Elephas maximus indicus: one gene and its partner. The protein of the gene in region 1 interacts with the protein of each later gene in a pairwise test. Links are inferred from orthologs where the notes say so. Each region holds a gene or a part of one and is shown on either strand. Other genes may lie near its edges.

Region 1 (7,797 bases):
CTTAGTTGTCGTGTGACCTTGGTGTTCTTCATTCTCCTTTGATCCAGGTGGGTTGAGACCAATTGATGCATCTTAGATGGCCGCTTGTTAGCATTTAAGACCCCAGACGCCACATTTCAAAGTGGGATGCAGAATGTTTTCATAATAGAATTATCTTGCCAATTGACTTAGAAGTCCCCTTAAACCATGTTCCCCAAACCCCCGCCCTTGCTCCGCTGACCTTTGAAGCATTCATTTCATCCTGGAAACTTCTTTGCTTTTGGTCCAGTCCAATTGAGCTGACCTTCCATGTATTGAGTGTTGTCCTTCCCTTCACCTAAAGCAGTTCTTATCTACTAATTAATCAGTAAAAAACCCTCTCCCTTCCTTCCTCCCTCCCTCCCCCCCTCATAACCACGAAAGTATGTGTTCTTCTCAGTTTATACTATTTCTGAAGATCTTATAATTGTGATCTTATACAATATTAGTCCTTTTGCCTCTAATTTTGCTCAGCATAATGCCTTCCAGGTTCCTCCATGTTATGAAATGTTTCACAGATTCGTCACTGTTCTTTATCGATGTGTAGTATTCCATTGTGTGAATATACCACAATTTATTTACCCATTCATCTGTTGACGGACACCTTGGTTGTTTCCAGCTTTTTGCTATTGTAAACAGAGCTGCAATAAACATGGGTGTGCATATATCTGTTTGTGTGAAGGCTCTTGTTTCTCTAGGGTATATTCTGAGGAGTGGGATTTCTGGGTTGTATGGTAGTTCTATTTCTAACTGTTTAAGATAACGCCAGATAGATTTCCAAAGTGGTTGTACCATTTTACATTCCCACTAGCAGTGTATAAGAGTTCCAATCTCTCCGCAGCCTCTCCAACATTTATTATTTTGTGTTTTTTGGATTAATGCCAGCCTTGTTGGAGTGAGATGGAATCTCATCGTAGTTTTAATTTGCATTTCTCTAATGGCTAATGATCGAGAGCATTTTCTCATGTATCTGTTAGCTGCCTGTATATCTTCTTTAGTGAAGTGTGTGTTCATATCCTTTGCCCACCTCTTGATTGGGTTGTTTGTCTTTTTGTGGTTGAGTTTTGACAGAGTCATATAGATTTTAGAGATCAGGCACTGGTCGGAGATGTCATAGCTGAAAATTCTTTCTCCCCAGACTGTTTTTTCTCCAGCCTCTGGTTCTCCATTGTGGCCAAGGTTCTCAGAGAAGGCACTAGAACTTGCGGGGTGGGAGTGAGGGGAAAAAGGGAGGGCAGAAAAGCAAAACTTATACCCTCTCGCATTGTGAGCCATAAAGGAACAAGGACATAACACCACAGGTGCCTAGCCTGAGGTCTACACGTCCATTTGTTAGTCTTCCCACAGAAGGCAAGAGCCATACAACAGGACTGACTAGGGCTTGGGACAAGTTATTGATCTCTTTCAAGGGCAGAGTGGAGTTGGAGTGGGGGGAAGTGTCCAGGCTAATGGGAGCAAGGACACATGGAACAGGCCTGGGGGCTGAAGCAGAGCCTCCACCCCAAACCCTGCACTTCCACCCAAGCCCCCCAGCCCCCAGTGCAGCTATAACCTGAGTTCCTTTCTGCCACAGTACAGAGAAGCATCAGCCTGCCACTGATATCAACAGACCTGATTCTTTTCAGAAGAAAAATCCCCTAGAAGAGAACCAGGCTGGATCCCTGAGGGAAGACCCTTGGAGAAGGCAGCCCAAGCGCTGGAATTCTTACAGTTAAAAGTCCCAGAAGAGGAGGAGAGTCCCAAGGACTGCAGGCTACTCCCTGGCAGTGGGGGTTTCCTTCTTCACCCCTGATCTCCTGTAGTCTTAGTTTCAATTCTGCCAGGCAAGGGAGACCATAAGTCTTCTCCTCTGGGGCCCAGGCTGGAGGCTACAAGACTTGCAGAGGACAGGATAAAACCCAGACCCTGCTTATGAGACAGGTCACTCTTCTGTATAGGACAACCAAGGGCGACTTCAAGGAGGATGCCTGGAGGACATGAGAAGGTGAGAAGGAACAGGATGGTGGAAAGAGGCCAAGCATTTGGGAAGTTTCTCATGGCTACTTAGCTACAGCATTTAAGAGCAAGATGGTGTCCACAGAATAGACCTCAGCTGTCTTGCGGGCAAGATCTGGAAAGGTTAGGAGTTCTACTGGAAAAAGAAAGCAGGGTGTACAAGCCACCCTCCCAACCTCACCCAAAATGGAAAGCCTCGGGGCAGTTGGAGTGGAGTTGAGGAGAACAGGTGGCAAGGCTGCTGAGGAGTTGCTGACACTGCTGATCCTCTGTGCGCTGGGGCCGTGACTTCAGGGGGAGAAGCTCCATGTGGGAGTTTTTGAGAATAGGTGCCCGGATGTGGAGCCCTGCCAGGTATTCCTCCTGGTGTAAGCCATTGTGATCCAGCAAAGGCCAGGCACTAGTAGGCGAGGAGCTAAGGCAGGAATGGCATGAAGGGCAGATAAGCAAGAGCTGGCTGTCTTGAGAGGTGAAGAGCAGGGGCCAGTGACCTTCCCCAAGAGATGGCTCTTCATCTAACCATGACTGGTGCCTGGTTTATCTGCTCTGTCTTTTCTTTGCAGTGGGGAGAAAGACAAATGACCACGAAAGCTCTCCTGCCTGCTTCTGTATGATATGTTTGATATTGGGTTGTTTAATTAGGAGCCAACTAAATGTCAAACATATTCTTACAGCAGTTGGCAATTCAGCAGCACACTCTTTTCTACCTCAACCTCTGGGGATCCTGTCTTTTCTATTGAACTTCTCTTCAGGACCCCCTCTGGCATATTAGTGGCTGCAACCCATGAAGATTTCAATCTTAAGCTAGAGGGATGGTGTATGAGTGGGATGAGAGTTGGAATTTCCCCCTTAGTAGATAAGATTTCTCTCTTTACCTCTCCTCTCCTTTCCTTGTATTTTTTCATTCAAGTCCCCCTCCCCACTTATTATCCACTGCTTCCCACCCCTGGGACTCTCTTGTTCCTAATCCATTTCCCTGGCTGGTCTGCACATTAGAGGTCTTTGGTCTCTTGCTTTCCTTCAAGTGTTATCTGACCGTTTATCTATTTATCTCTAGTGACTGCAAGCTCTCAGTTCTCAAGAGTGGACTCCAGCTCTGTCCTATGCCTTGCTGGTCGTTTCAGTTTCTTCATTGCTGGGGCATAGCATTAACACCATCCATCTAGCCTTGACATAATGATTCATTTGAGCCATTTATATTCTTCCCTGTTAGCTCTGGTCACCTTGAACAGTGCCCACCGCTCTCCTGGCATACTCTCAGGTTTTATGGTGCCAGTGTGATCAACTGCCACCTGTCAGCAATGAGGCTCCAAGTGGAAGAATGAACACGCCCTGGAACTAAGCTGGGGAGAATAGAGTTGATGATGATGATTATTTTGACGAGTGGTGGTGGGGGTGGGGATAAAGAGAGGGTAAAGGGTGACGGAAAGAAGAGTAGAAAGCAACAGAGTCACGGGGTGGATTATCCAATAGGCAAGGTAAGCTTACCTTGCCTACCAGATCATCTGGAATGAACAATTTCATTACAGATTAGTTAAGTAAGCACAAGTAAGCCTGTGCTTACTTTGCTTACTGGGTCATCTTATGACTGTCAGTTTAAAAAAAGGCTTTGATTCTGCAGGAAGGTGCTGTGAGGTTGGGACAGAGACAGATGCCAGCCATACCTAGAAGCAGAATCTTCGATGTGGTGAAAAAATGTGAAATTGTTCACTACGGATGATCTGGTAACCTTGTGCTTACTTGTCTATTGGATAACCCTCCCCCGTCCCCCGACCCGAGCACACCCATTGGTCCGTGTGGGTACAAAAGTTCTATTTAAAGATCACTATGGGAAAACGGAGCCTTGCTGGCACAGTGGTTAAGAGTTTGGCTGCTAACCAAAAGGTCAGCAGTTCAAATCCACAAGCCGCTCCTTGGACATCCTATGGGGGAGTTCTACTTTGTCCTATAGGGTTGCTATGAGTCAGAATCGACTCAATGGCAATGGGCTTTTTTTAATGGGAAATCAGCATGATCCTGTCTGGCTCACTCTAACCCTATCCTAGTTTAAGCTCTGAGATGGCCTTCCAGATCTCAACCTACCCTCTTACTCCATCCCTGTGGTTCTTAGCAGGGAGGAATGATGTCTCCCTTCTAATCAGGGACTCCCAAAATAGCAAAGCAATTTGATCTTGGGATCTAGGGGAATTGTTAAGGATCATGAGTGACCTCCCCTCTTCACTGTTGCCCAGGCTCCCTGGATACCAGGAATCAAAAGATGAAACCCAACCAGTGGAATCTGATCACCATCCAACTCAGTCTGGGTGACAGTAAGAGGAAAGCTGAAGGGCAACTGAGACTCTGGATGAAAACTCACGCCATCCTAAAATTGCCAAAGTACCCTTCCCTTTTCTATATCAATGTTTTCTCTTTCCCTCTCCCTGCTCTTGTAAAATACCCATAGAACTGCCTAGAATAAGTGGAAATTTTCAGGGTTGGTGAGAGTCTCCCCTCCTCCACTTTCCATTGTCTAAAGTCAGCCTCAGCTGTTCACAGATATTTCTTTGCCGGTGATGTCAGTCCATCAAAGTGTCTCACCCTGTGTTCCCCCAGGAGAATAACGATGGGGTGGAGAGAGATGGAAGGGCCATATTAGGAATAAGAGGTGGAGCCACAAGCAGAGATAAAGGCTTAAGTGTGGGAAACTTCTAGTCACTCAGGCAGCAGCCCTTCCTTTCTTGACCTAGTCTCCAGTTTCTAGTGCTCACAGGTGAGCCCAACAGCCACTGCTCATGATGGAGGCCATCAAGAAAAAGATGCAGATGCTGAAGTTGGACAAGGAGAATGCTCTGGATCGGGCAGAACAAGCTGAAGCTGAGCAGAAACAGGCAGAAGAAAGAAGTAAACAGGTAGGCACTGCCATGATGTCTTTCACCTCCTGATGAATAAGACTGAGATGGGAGAGAGTTTTCATGGGAAAAGCAGTGACCCCTGGTGCCAGCTCCTTCTTTAGGCAAGAGGGACTTTTCTTCCCAGCTTCCCTGGAGGGGCAGAGGACATCTGCGGTATCTGCCTCAGACTACCTGTGTGACCTCGGGAAAGTCAGTGATCCCCCTCAGAGCCACAGCATGTCTGCTGGATTTAAGTGGGAGGTGGATCATCTTTTGGAAGAGCCCGGAAAAGGCGGAAGGCCTGGCATGCAGCATCTCTTTTCCGTTAAATGGAGTCACAGGTATCTATAACCTTAGATATTGGATGCCAGGGTCTTGGATAAAAACCCTGGCATCCAACCCAACATAGGGTCACAGGCCAAGGCCGAAGCGTAACACTTGGAGCATTAGATTGGAAATGGCTGGGGAAAAAGTATGTCTCTGAGGATGGTAACATAGAGGCTGGGCTCCGGGGCCTAGTAGGGCTCAAGAGCCCAGGGTCCAAGACTGTACTGCTGTGTATATGTATGTGACTCTCTGGGCTCCTACAGCTGGAGGATGAGTTGGCAGCCATGCAGAAGAAGCTGAAAGGGACAGAGGATGAACTGGACAAGTATTCTGAGGCTTTGAAGGATGCCCAGGAGAAGCTGGAGCTGGCTGAGAAGAAGGCAGCTGATGTGAGTATTAGAGTTGGGGATGGGTTTAATCCACACATATAGATCTTGATGTTAATATGTGACTAAATTCCAAACACACTTTGACATATGCATACTTGTGGGTCCACAGACAGACATATGTATATACTCACATACATCTCTGCATCTAACCACATACTGGTATACTCTTGGAACAGCATATATTTTCTTCCTTAAAGAGATGTAGAAGTCTCATCTTTCTGTTGCACTGCCAGCCCAGGAATTTTATTCTTTCCCAAGAACTGGATAAAAGGAGAAGACTCCAAATCCAAGTTGCTATCACTTATCCTACCCTTCCCCCATGACACATTCTTAGCTTTTGTGTCCAAGGCTTGGCATGAAGATATGTGTATTAATAGGGAATCTCTCATCTCCCAACTACCCAACAAAGCCAGCTTGGATTTCACAATGGGACTAAGGAGGTCACATTGACTCTGGGCCTGTATAGGTTTCTTTATCTTGGCCAATTTGGGCATCTGATCTCAAGTAACAGAGATGCCATATGAAGCATTCTCATAGGACATCAGGGAGGTCCTTAGGGTGAAAGACTACAACAGAAACTAAGAAGGAATCTTAGAGGGCAAAAGTATCACCACCAGACCTTACTCTATAACCTTGAGTCAATTACTCAGCTTCTCTAGGGCTGAATTTTCCCATTTGAAAAATGAGATTAAATCTTCTTTCCCACTTCATGTTATCCCCGTTTCACTTAATACTCTCCATTTTCAACCTTGAAGTTTGCCACAAAGATAACTGAGAGACTAGATAGGAAAGTCTTTGGGGAGAAAACTACCATAGGAATCTTAACAGCGACAGAAGAATATCCTAGTGTTGATGGAGATAGAGTTAAAATGCTCAGCAAACTGAGTTAATAGGAAAACAAGAGCATGTCACTTAAAAATCACATTTGGTTTTGGAAAATAGCTAGAAGGAATGAATAAGCCATTCACAAATACTTTTGGATCCTTACACTCAGGCTTTTGCCATCAGGTTTCTATCTCCTGTTTGGCTTTCTATCACTTTCAGGGGCCCTGGGAAATGGTAAGGGTTGAATATATGATGCCAGAGACTAGCGACAGAAAGCAGTAATATACTTTATACGTACGTAGAGTTTCCAAATGTTTAGGCCACTGCAAACTATTAATACCCCATTCTTGGAAAACTGCAAAAAGTATGGATTACTCCAAGGGCTTTGGGCAAGTGCTTGATGGCATGCTGGAGTTGCCCTAGCCTAGGTCTGTGTATGGATGTGTGGATCTCTGGTTCCAAAAAACCGGCATACGGACAGAAGTTTTCACAAACTGGTACAGTAAACTGGCATAGGGATAGAAGTTTTCAGGAATTGGTACAATAAACCAGCGTAGGGAGACTTTTCACAAACTAGCACAATTTCAGGCTAGTAACATTTTTGTGAGATGTTGGGTAATAATTCTCTGGGAAAGTCCTTAGGCTGAAACAGCTAATATGTGCGCTTGAGGGGATGTTTCCAGGGGCAACAAAAAAAAAAGTTTAACCTGAATCTTAGGAAAGGCAGAGTGACATAGAGGCCCTTAACAATATATTAATATCATGGGGAAGATAAGAGAATTTCCTGGGGATGAATTCTGTCCATTCTAATCTATTTTACACACACACACATCATCCCCCACCCAGATATGGTCTTTGTTGCTAGTTGCCATCTAGTCAGCTCTGACTCGTGGTGATCTTACATATAACAGAGGTCTACTTAGTATATTCACTTGAACGAAATGTCTGACATTTATACAGGAATCCGCCAAAAACGTTTCAACATGTAAAATGTGGGTACAAAACTCATTCAACTTCTTCCCCCCTTACTAGCTAGTGCAACAAGTCAATAAGCACCATACACTTATTGGAATGGAAGAGGAAGGTTGTGGGCAGGAGACAAAAGTCTTCTAGGGTAGGTTGAGAAGGCAGCAGGCAGAAAAGGCATCTTTCCTCAAAGCTGGGGTCAGCAAACTAGCAACTGTAGGGTAAATCCAACTGCAGCCTGGTTTTGTAAATAAGGTTTTATTGGAACCCAGCCATGCCCATTCATATACAAATAAATCATGTGTACCGGATGCCTTCTCCCTACAACGGGAGTAACTGCCACAGAGACCTAATGGCCCACAAAGTCAAAAATATTTACTATCTGGCCCTTTACAGAAAAACTTGCC
Region 2 (7,289 bases), on another chromosome or scaffold:
ACAGAGGGTTAAAGGCAGGTGATGGAGACAGACAAGGATTGTGCTTGCAAGCTGAAATACACAAGAGAGGGCCTCCCACTACAGCCATGTCCTGAATTCCCACTTCCAGCCTTCTAAACTATGAGAAAATAAATTTCTGTTCTTTAAAGCTACCTACCTGTGATACTTCTGTTACAGCAGCATTTAGTTAACTAAGACAAGGTCTGAAAACAATTATACAATGTCATGCCTTGAAATCCTTCTTGGGCCATGAATTGGTTCAGATTTTTCCCAACTTAATTAGACAAAGGATGGATAAGCTGCATTTAAGAGTACACGGGCAAACATTATTATTCACTGTTGTATCGTAACCAGAACAATGTCAGTACAGTAAGCTTTCAATAAAGACTTGATGGGCCAACTTTTAGATGCAGAAGTATGTCTTGAAGTGGTAAAGCTTTTACATGCTTTAAGAGATGCCAACATGTCTTTTATTTGGGAAATGCTTGCAAATGTTTTACCAGGATAAAATGTTATTCCTGAATTTATCGTGGATAAATCATTTACGATAAAAAATGACTAAAGTATATATACTTCAACTCTTGTGGTAAAGATTTCACTAGGACAATTAACAAAGCCAACTATTTTCATAAACAATCATAGAATATGCCACAGAAATAATTTGATTCACCATTGTTTTATTATTTTGCAATGACACAGTTCAAATAAAATCTCCCTAAAAAAAAAAAAAAATTTTTTTTTCTTTTTATTGAATGGAACATGTTTGTTTTTATTGCAGACACTAACAGTAAATTCCTGAGCTTTAGCATCGGTCTTCCGACACTTTTTTCCCCTTAAAATTTAGTTTCCTATTGGAGCTTTTTTCCAGGACAATAACTAAATACTGAAAAGCTGATCATTTTATTATCTCATGTGAATATGAAACTTTGGCTAATTAATGAGAATTAAACTAATATATTTCATAACTAAAACCAGTTGTATTATGTTCCCAAGTGAAGCAATGTATCTTTTATTTTGCTAAATTCTATTACTGAATAACTTCCCCAACAAGGGTTTTTTATTTTCTAAAAAGGACATGCATTTTTAGGCATAAGAGCAGTTTACCTAAAACAGTAAATTCAGTACATTTATTCTTTCCAGATAAAAAATATCACCTAAACAAAAAAACCACATTAGTAAAATGAAACATTAAATCTTTTTTGGAAAAGAACATCTAATAATCAACTTTTCACTTTATTGTAATAGATCTTCTACTAACTTGGGTGAAAAATAAACAACTCTCAGATAAGTTATCAGTGAAGTACAATTAGAAATATACTAGCATCACAAATGTTCTAGGCTAGAGGATGTCCGGGGACCCTTCTTTACTGCTCTGAGATTTTTAATAAATAACAAACAAAAATAAACAAAACCAGGTGCCATCATGTTTGTTCTGACTCATGGGGACCCCACGTGTTGCAGAGTATAACTGTTCTCCGTAGAGTTTTTTCTATGGTTGTGACGTTTCTCGAAACCAGGTCTTTCTTCCCAGTGCCTCTGGATGGGTTAGAAGCACCACCCTTTTGGTTAGTTCATAAGCTCTTAATCGGATGCACCACGCAGGGACTCCAGGATTGTTAAAAAACGATCTTCTAAATATTTTAACATTGTGGTGAAAAATAGAGGGATTTTCTAATTTAAAGTGTCAGTATTGTTACTAAAATGAAATAGGTTTTTTTCCCCTCTTTTTAAAGAAAATGACTGGAGAAAATAAAATCAGGAAGGTGGTTTTAAGGTTATTTCTACATTCGTTTTCCCTATGGCATCAATACGTCACTATTTATTTGGTTTAAAAACTATAAATGCTTAGTTTCAAGTGAACACAACTACTGTACTTTTGTACCTTTACAGTAATTAGAGTTCAATCTGTAACTTAGGAAAAGACTCTAAGCTCATAATACATAGTCTTCAAAAAATGGGAAATCCTCCAAACTTTGACATTATCTTCAACGTCTGTTGCTTTGAAACCACAATGAGTTCTTTTTAAAGTTGCAAACTTTTCCATTAGACATTTACGGTGGGGAGAGGGAGGAAGAGGGGACTGTCCTGGACAAATGCAATGGGATAGGAAGTAACGGTTTAGAAAAACGCAAAAGCTTCCGACGTGTAGTAGACGTTTTAATTTATAAAGTTTGGAATCATCTGCCATCTCTTAAGAAATGGCTGAAATGTTCCTAAACCTTAGCCTCAACTCCAATTAAGCGGTAGAGAACATGCTACCAGTACAAAGGAAAATTACAAAAAAGGAGGAAAAGAAACTAGAGACAGAGGAACAATCTGGAGGTTGAAGGTTAGCGGGGCGCTGAGCCGGCTGGGGCCGGGGCAAGGACGTGATCCCAAAGAGCGGAGCGACCACAGGAGGCAGGACGCAGGACGCGGGCAGCTGCGCGGCCGGCTCCCCCATGTCTCGCGTCCACTTACCAGGCGAGGCCCAGGCATGTCCCCAGCGACAGCAGGCTCAGGCCCGTCCGGGGGTCCGCCCAGCCCCTGCCTCCACTGCCCCGGGCCTCGGGGCTCTTCCCGCCCTCGCTCCGCTTCCCGGGCTCCGCGGGCGCTGCCTTGGGCGCTGACTTCTTCCGGCTCTTCACCTCGGACATGTTTGGAGGCCGTGAGGAGTACAAGCCCGAGGTGGGGCCGCTTCTTCACCCCGGGGGAATGGACGTGGCCGCTTCGGCCTCCTCCCGAAGCGGGGGCGGAGACGGCGCCCCCTCCCAGACGTGGCACCGCCCACGAGCCAGCCCCTCTCGCTTTCTGGGATGCACTTGCCGCTTCACAGCATCTCCCAGCAGCCGGTCTTCGGGTGGGGCGTCCAGCGACCCCCCACTTCCGCCTTCCGTCTTGTAACTGCCCCAAAAGTGAGGAAATCGAAGCTCCCGGGCGGGTGTAAGCCTCCGAGATCCGAGGGGGCGCGGCCAGGTCGCGCGCGCGCCACTTAGAGCGCGCCGCCGCCGCCTCAGCCTTCCCTTCTGGGAGCCCCGCGCGCCCGTGTGGCTTAGCCACGCCCCCCAAGCGGGGGGCGGGCTCTTCTCTGCGGGAGCGCGCGCGGCGGCGTCCTCCCCAAGGGGCTCCGGGGGTGTTTATTTGCGTGCGCGGGCGCGCGCTGTCCTGACTGGGCGGGCTCTTCTCTGCGGGAGCGCGCGCGGCGGCGTCCTCCCCAAGGGGCTCCGGGGGTGTTTATTTGCGTGCGCGGGCGCGCGCTGTCCAGACTGGGCGGGCCGGGCGGGTTTTGATTGCTCAGCGGTACTGTAGCCGACTGGAGGCGAAAACGAGTGGCTGGGATGCTTTATCTCTGGGTAGAAAGATTGAGGGAGCGGGAGGGGAGGCACCGGGGCCCTCAGGGACCAGCGAGGACGTGAAAGGGTCGCAGCGGCGTCCGGAGTGTCGCCGGCTCCCCCCGGGGTGCAGCTACCACCGGAACGAGGGAGCGACATCCCCAAGTGGCCCTTTTCCCTTTGTGTCCTGGGGCGGGATCCGCCGGGAGAGCGGCCCGCGGGCCGGGCCTCACCTCGGCGCCCTGGGGCTGTGAGGTCCGGCGGCGGAGGTGACGCCCGCTTCCGGGCATCTCGAGTCCCCCAGGGTCTTCAGGCGCCCCGGGCTGCGGAGGCGCAGGTGAGGCACCTGTGAGGCCTGGCCCGAGGTGCTAGGACGTTGAGAAGTTCCTCGTCGGAGGCCCCAGCTACCTTTAACCCTGGCCGGCCTGCCCCCGCGGGGCTGCTGGTCCCATTGAGCCCTTGGCACCGAGGTTTGGGTAAGTGCCTGACGGCTTTTCGCCCTGAGCCAGATTCTTTGGAGGATCGGTAGCAGATTTCAGAGACGGAGGATTCGGGAATATGGAATATTTGGTAACCGTTTTGCTGCCGTTATTAGGAAATTATCTAATGAGGAAGCAGTGAACTGTTAAGGTTTCAATTTTATTCCTGTGAAGAGTTTTGGCTTTACTTCTTGGTGTGTTACAAAATTTACAAATTGAGAATTTGTTCAAAATACTTCAGTTTGTGAAGAGTTTAAAAACGTGTTTTACAGTTTACGTATTTAAGGTTAATAAGGATGGGCAAAATTGGAAATTAGTTTTAGATTGACAAAGAGTGTCTATTTCTTAGCAATTGGACCTAACCTAAAAGTTCACTTTTGTCTAATCGAGGAACGTTTATGTTTAAATTAGGCGAATAAAAACATTATTAATATTTTAAAAATATGATATCCTTGATTCTAATCATAATTTTTTCTTTTATCAGTTAATTTCATGGTAGTACTGGGCGTTTCTGAAACGTGACAAAATTTTTTTTTTTTTTTTTTTTGTGTAGGCAAATGCTTCCATTACCATATTTTTGCAAGTGCCACATTTAATGACTTTAAAAAAAAAAAATTCCGGTCATTGTTGAAAAAAAAAAAGCTTATGGTTATTATCCCTCTTCTGAGCGTTAAATAATTTTTGCTTAACTCTATTTTATTTGTGTATTACATCACATTCTAATTGTCTCTTTATTTTTCTTAGACTGGATTGTGGATTTATTCAGGAATATGAGTTAATCGCCTCTGTATTCTCAGTGCCTGGCAAATAGTAGCGGCGCAAATGTTTATCGAATGAATAAATTTATTTAACAAACCCATTTAGACACTTTCAGTGTAATACACTGGATGTAGTTGTGTTTGTTTTAAAAACTTGAAAGCGTTCTGATTTGGGTTTTATACCCGTGGAAAAATTTGAGTTATATTTGAAATAAAGTTGGTAGAAACTTGTTTTATTGTAGAGAATATTCTTTCTTTGTGTCCTCTTAATCTAAGAAATGACATCAGAAGTTATTTCCTGTTACTTTGTCATACTTAAAGGCTTAGATGAAACTTCAGTGGAGTGAACAAGTGAGAAATGTGTTTACAGCTGAAGACCTACAGCTAACACACACCTTCAGTGTGTATACTCAATACCAACAAAACTTTATTCTGGATAAAGAAAATGAGAAATTTTGAAACATTAGAACTTCATATGATTGCTATTTTATTAAATTTCAATCTATAAAGAGTGGTTTTATAGTAAAACTGATACAATATAATGTGTATTGAAAAAAACTAATATTAAAAAAAAAAAACCCAAATCCTGCTCCTTGGAAATAACACTTAAAAGAATTTTTTTTGTTGTTGTTGAGAATATACAGAGCAAAACATACACCAATTCAACAGTTCCTATGTGTACAATTCGGTGACATTGATTATATTCTTTGAGTTCTGTAACCATTCTCACCCTCCTTTTCTGAGTTGTTTCTCTCCATTAGGATAAACTCACTGCCCCGTAAGTTTCCTATATAACTTTGCAGTAGTTATCAATTTGATCCTATATAAACCAAAACCAAACCCATTGCTGTTGAGTCAATCCTATAGGACAGAGTACAACTGCCCTGTGGGTTTCCAAGGCTGTTGGAATTGACTCAATGGCATTGGGTTTCATTTTGGTGAATCTTTACAGAGGCAGACTGCCATGTCTTTGTCCCTGGAAGATGCTGCCAACCTTTCAGTTAGTGCTTAAACACTGGGTCGCCTGGGCTTCTCCATGAGCAAGCAACTGCCCCTCTTTTTCCCTCCCTCCTGCCCTTGGTAATTAATAAACTTTGGTCTCTTGTTTTTTTGTCTCTTGTTTTTTAATATAAGTGAGGTCATATAATATTTGTCCTTCTGTGATTGACTTATTTCACTCAGAATAACCCACACGTTTTGATGAACAAACTTCTGAACATCTCCCCCATGTTTATGTGATACAAACATTTTGTGTTATATATAAGAACATATTTCTATGTTTTTACTCAGCAATGTGTTATGAACATCTTTCCGTGTCAGTATATAGACATTTGTGTTATTTTAAATAGCTGTGTAATATTCCATTTGATGTTTGTACCCTGGTTTTTTTCATCCGTATTCAGAATGATGGACATTTAGATTGTTTTCATCTTTTTCCCACCTAAACACTTTCTGTTAAATAAAGGGTATTTTTGCATATATATGTACATTTCTACTTGAGGTAAAAAAGGAGCCCTGGTGGTACAGTGGTTAAATACTTGGCCGCTAACTAAAAGGTCAGCGGTTCGAACCCACCAGCTGCTTTGTGGGACAGAGATGTGGCGGTCTGTTTTCATCAATATTACAGCTTTGGAAACCCTATGTGGCAGTTCTGCTCGGTCCTATGGGAATCGACTCGACGGCAGTGGATTTGGTTTTTTGGTACTTGAGGTAAATTGTTAGGAAGAGTAAAAAGAATGCTTATTTTAAACAGTTCTATATCTTACCATCTTGCCATCCAGAAAAGTTGCATTAATTTTGTACTCTGAGAATACCCATAAGAAATGTCCATTTTTTCACGGCTTTGAAACACTGGGTTTCATTTATAAAAACCTTTACAGAAAATGATCTTGTTTTATTTACATTTATTGATTACCAGTGAGATTGTACATCTTTTCATATCTTTATTGGCCTTACATGTATTTTGGTGTTCTGCCTGCAGCTCATGGTTGACAGCTTAGAAGAGAGAGAAAAATTTGAGGGAGGATGGATGCAAAAGCTCGAAATTGTTTACTTCAACACAGAGAAGCCCTGGAAAGGGACATCAAGACAGCCTATATCATGGATCACATGATTAGTGATGGAGTTTTAACATTATTGGAGGAGGAAAAAGTGAAAATTGAGGTAAAGACCCTTGAGGTGGTCTATGATTTCTTAAAATGTTTTAGAATTTATTTCATAACTTGCACTGGTCTCCACTAATTTTTGTTGCAAAAGTGTTAATTATTGTATGCTAAACTACTTAATTTTTTTTTTTAGCCCACTCAACAGCAGCGAGCAGCTATGCTAATTAAAATGATACTTCAAAAAGATAATTATTCCTACATATCATTCTACAATGCTCTACTGCATGAGGGGTATAGAGATCTGGCTGACCGTCTCCGCGGTGGTCTTCCTGATGTCTCTTCTTCCAATGGCAAAGATTCAGTTGGTGGAATAACTTCATATGGTTTGTATCCATGATGCCTTCTATCACGTTGGCTATATTGCTGCAGTTTTGTCTTACTGTAGATGGAGCCTGCCCAAGACACTATGATCAGTTCACTGAGAAATGCATGTGAAAAAATTGTGATGTTGTTTTCTAGTTTAAATATTTTTATTTGTATCCATGTTAACCCTCACATTTTCTTTTTGCCCAGTGAGCAATTTACTCCTGAGTTAATAATACTGATATACTAATTTTTAGAGATAATAAATTTATA

The links.
Region 2: the proteins of TPM3 (region 1) and IKBIP interact in a two-hybrid assay, tested with the Homo sapiens proteins (2 studies listed by BioGRID). The two-hybrid records come from large-scale screens. The link is inferred for Elephas maximus indicus from reciprocal best matches to the Homo sapiens genes TPM3 and IKBIP.

Annotation. Positions count from the first base shown.
Region 1 is NC_064821.1:191,974,303-191,982,099, reverse strand, and holds the start of TPM3 (tropomyosin alpha-3 chain), read left to right. Parts: upstream 1-4,726; 5' UTR 4,727-4,784; coding exon 4,785-4,901; intron 4,902-5,473; coding exon 5,474-5,599; intron 5,600-7,797. UniProt on the Homo sapiens protein: Binds to actin filaments in muscle and non-muscle cells. Plays a central role, in association with the troponin complex, in the calcium dependent regulation of vertebrate striated muscle contraction.
Region 2 is NC_064822.1:164,576,947-164,584,235, forward strand, and holds the start of IKBIP (inhibitor of nuclear factor kappa-B kinase-interacting protein), read right to left. Parts: upstream 3,037-7,289; 5' UTR 2,637-3,036; coding exon 2,461-2,636; intron 1-2,460. Other genes in the region: APAF1 (apoptotic protease-activating factor 1), read left to right, coding at 6,574-6,711, 6,847-7,036. UniProt on the Homo sapiens protein: Target of p53/TP53 with pro-apoptotic function.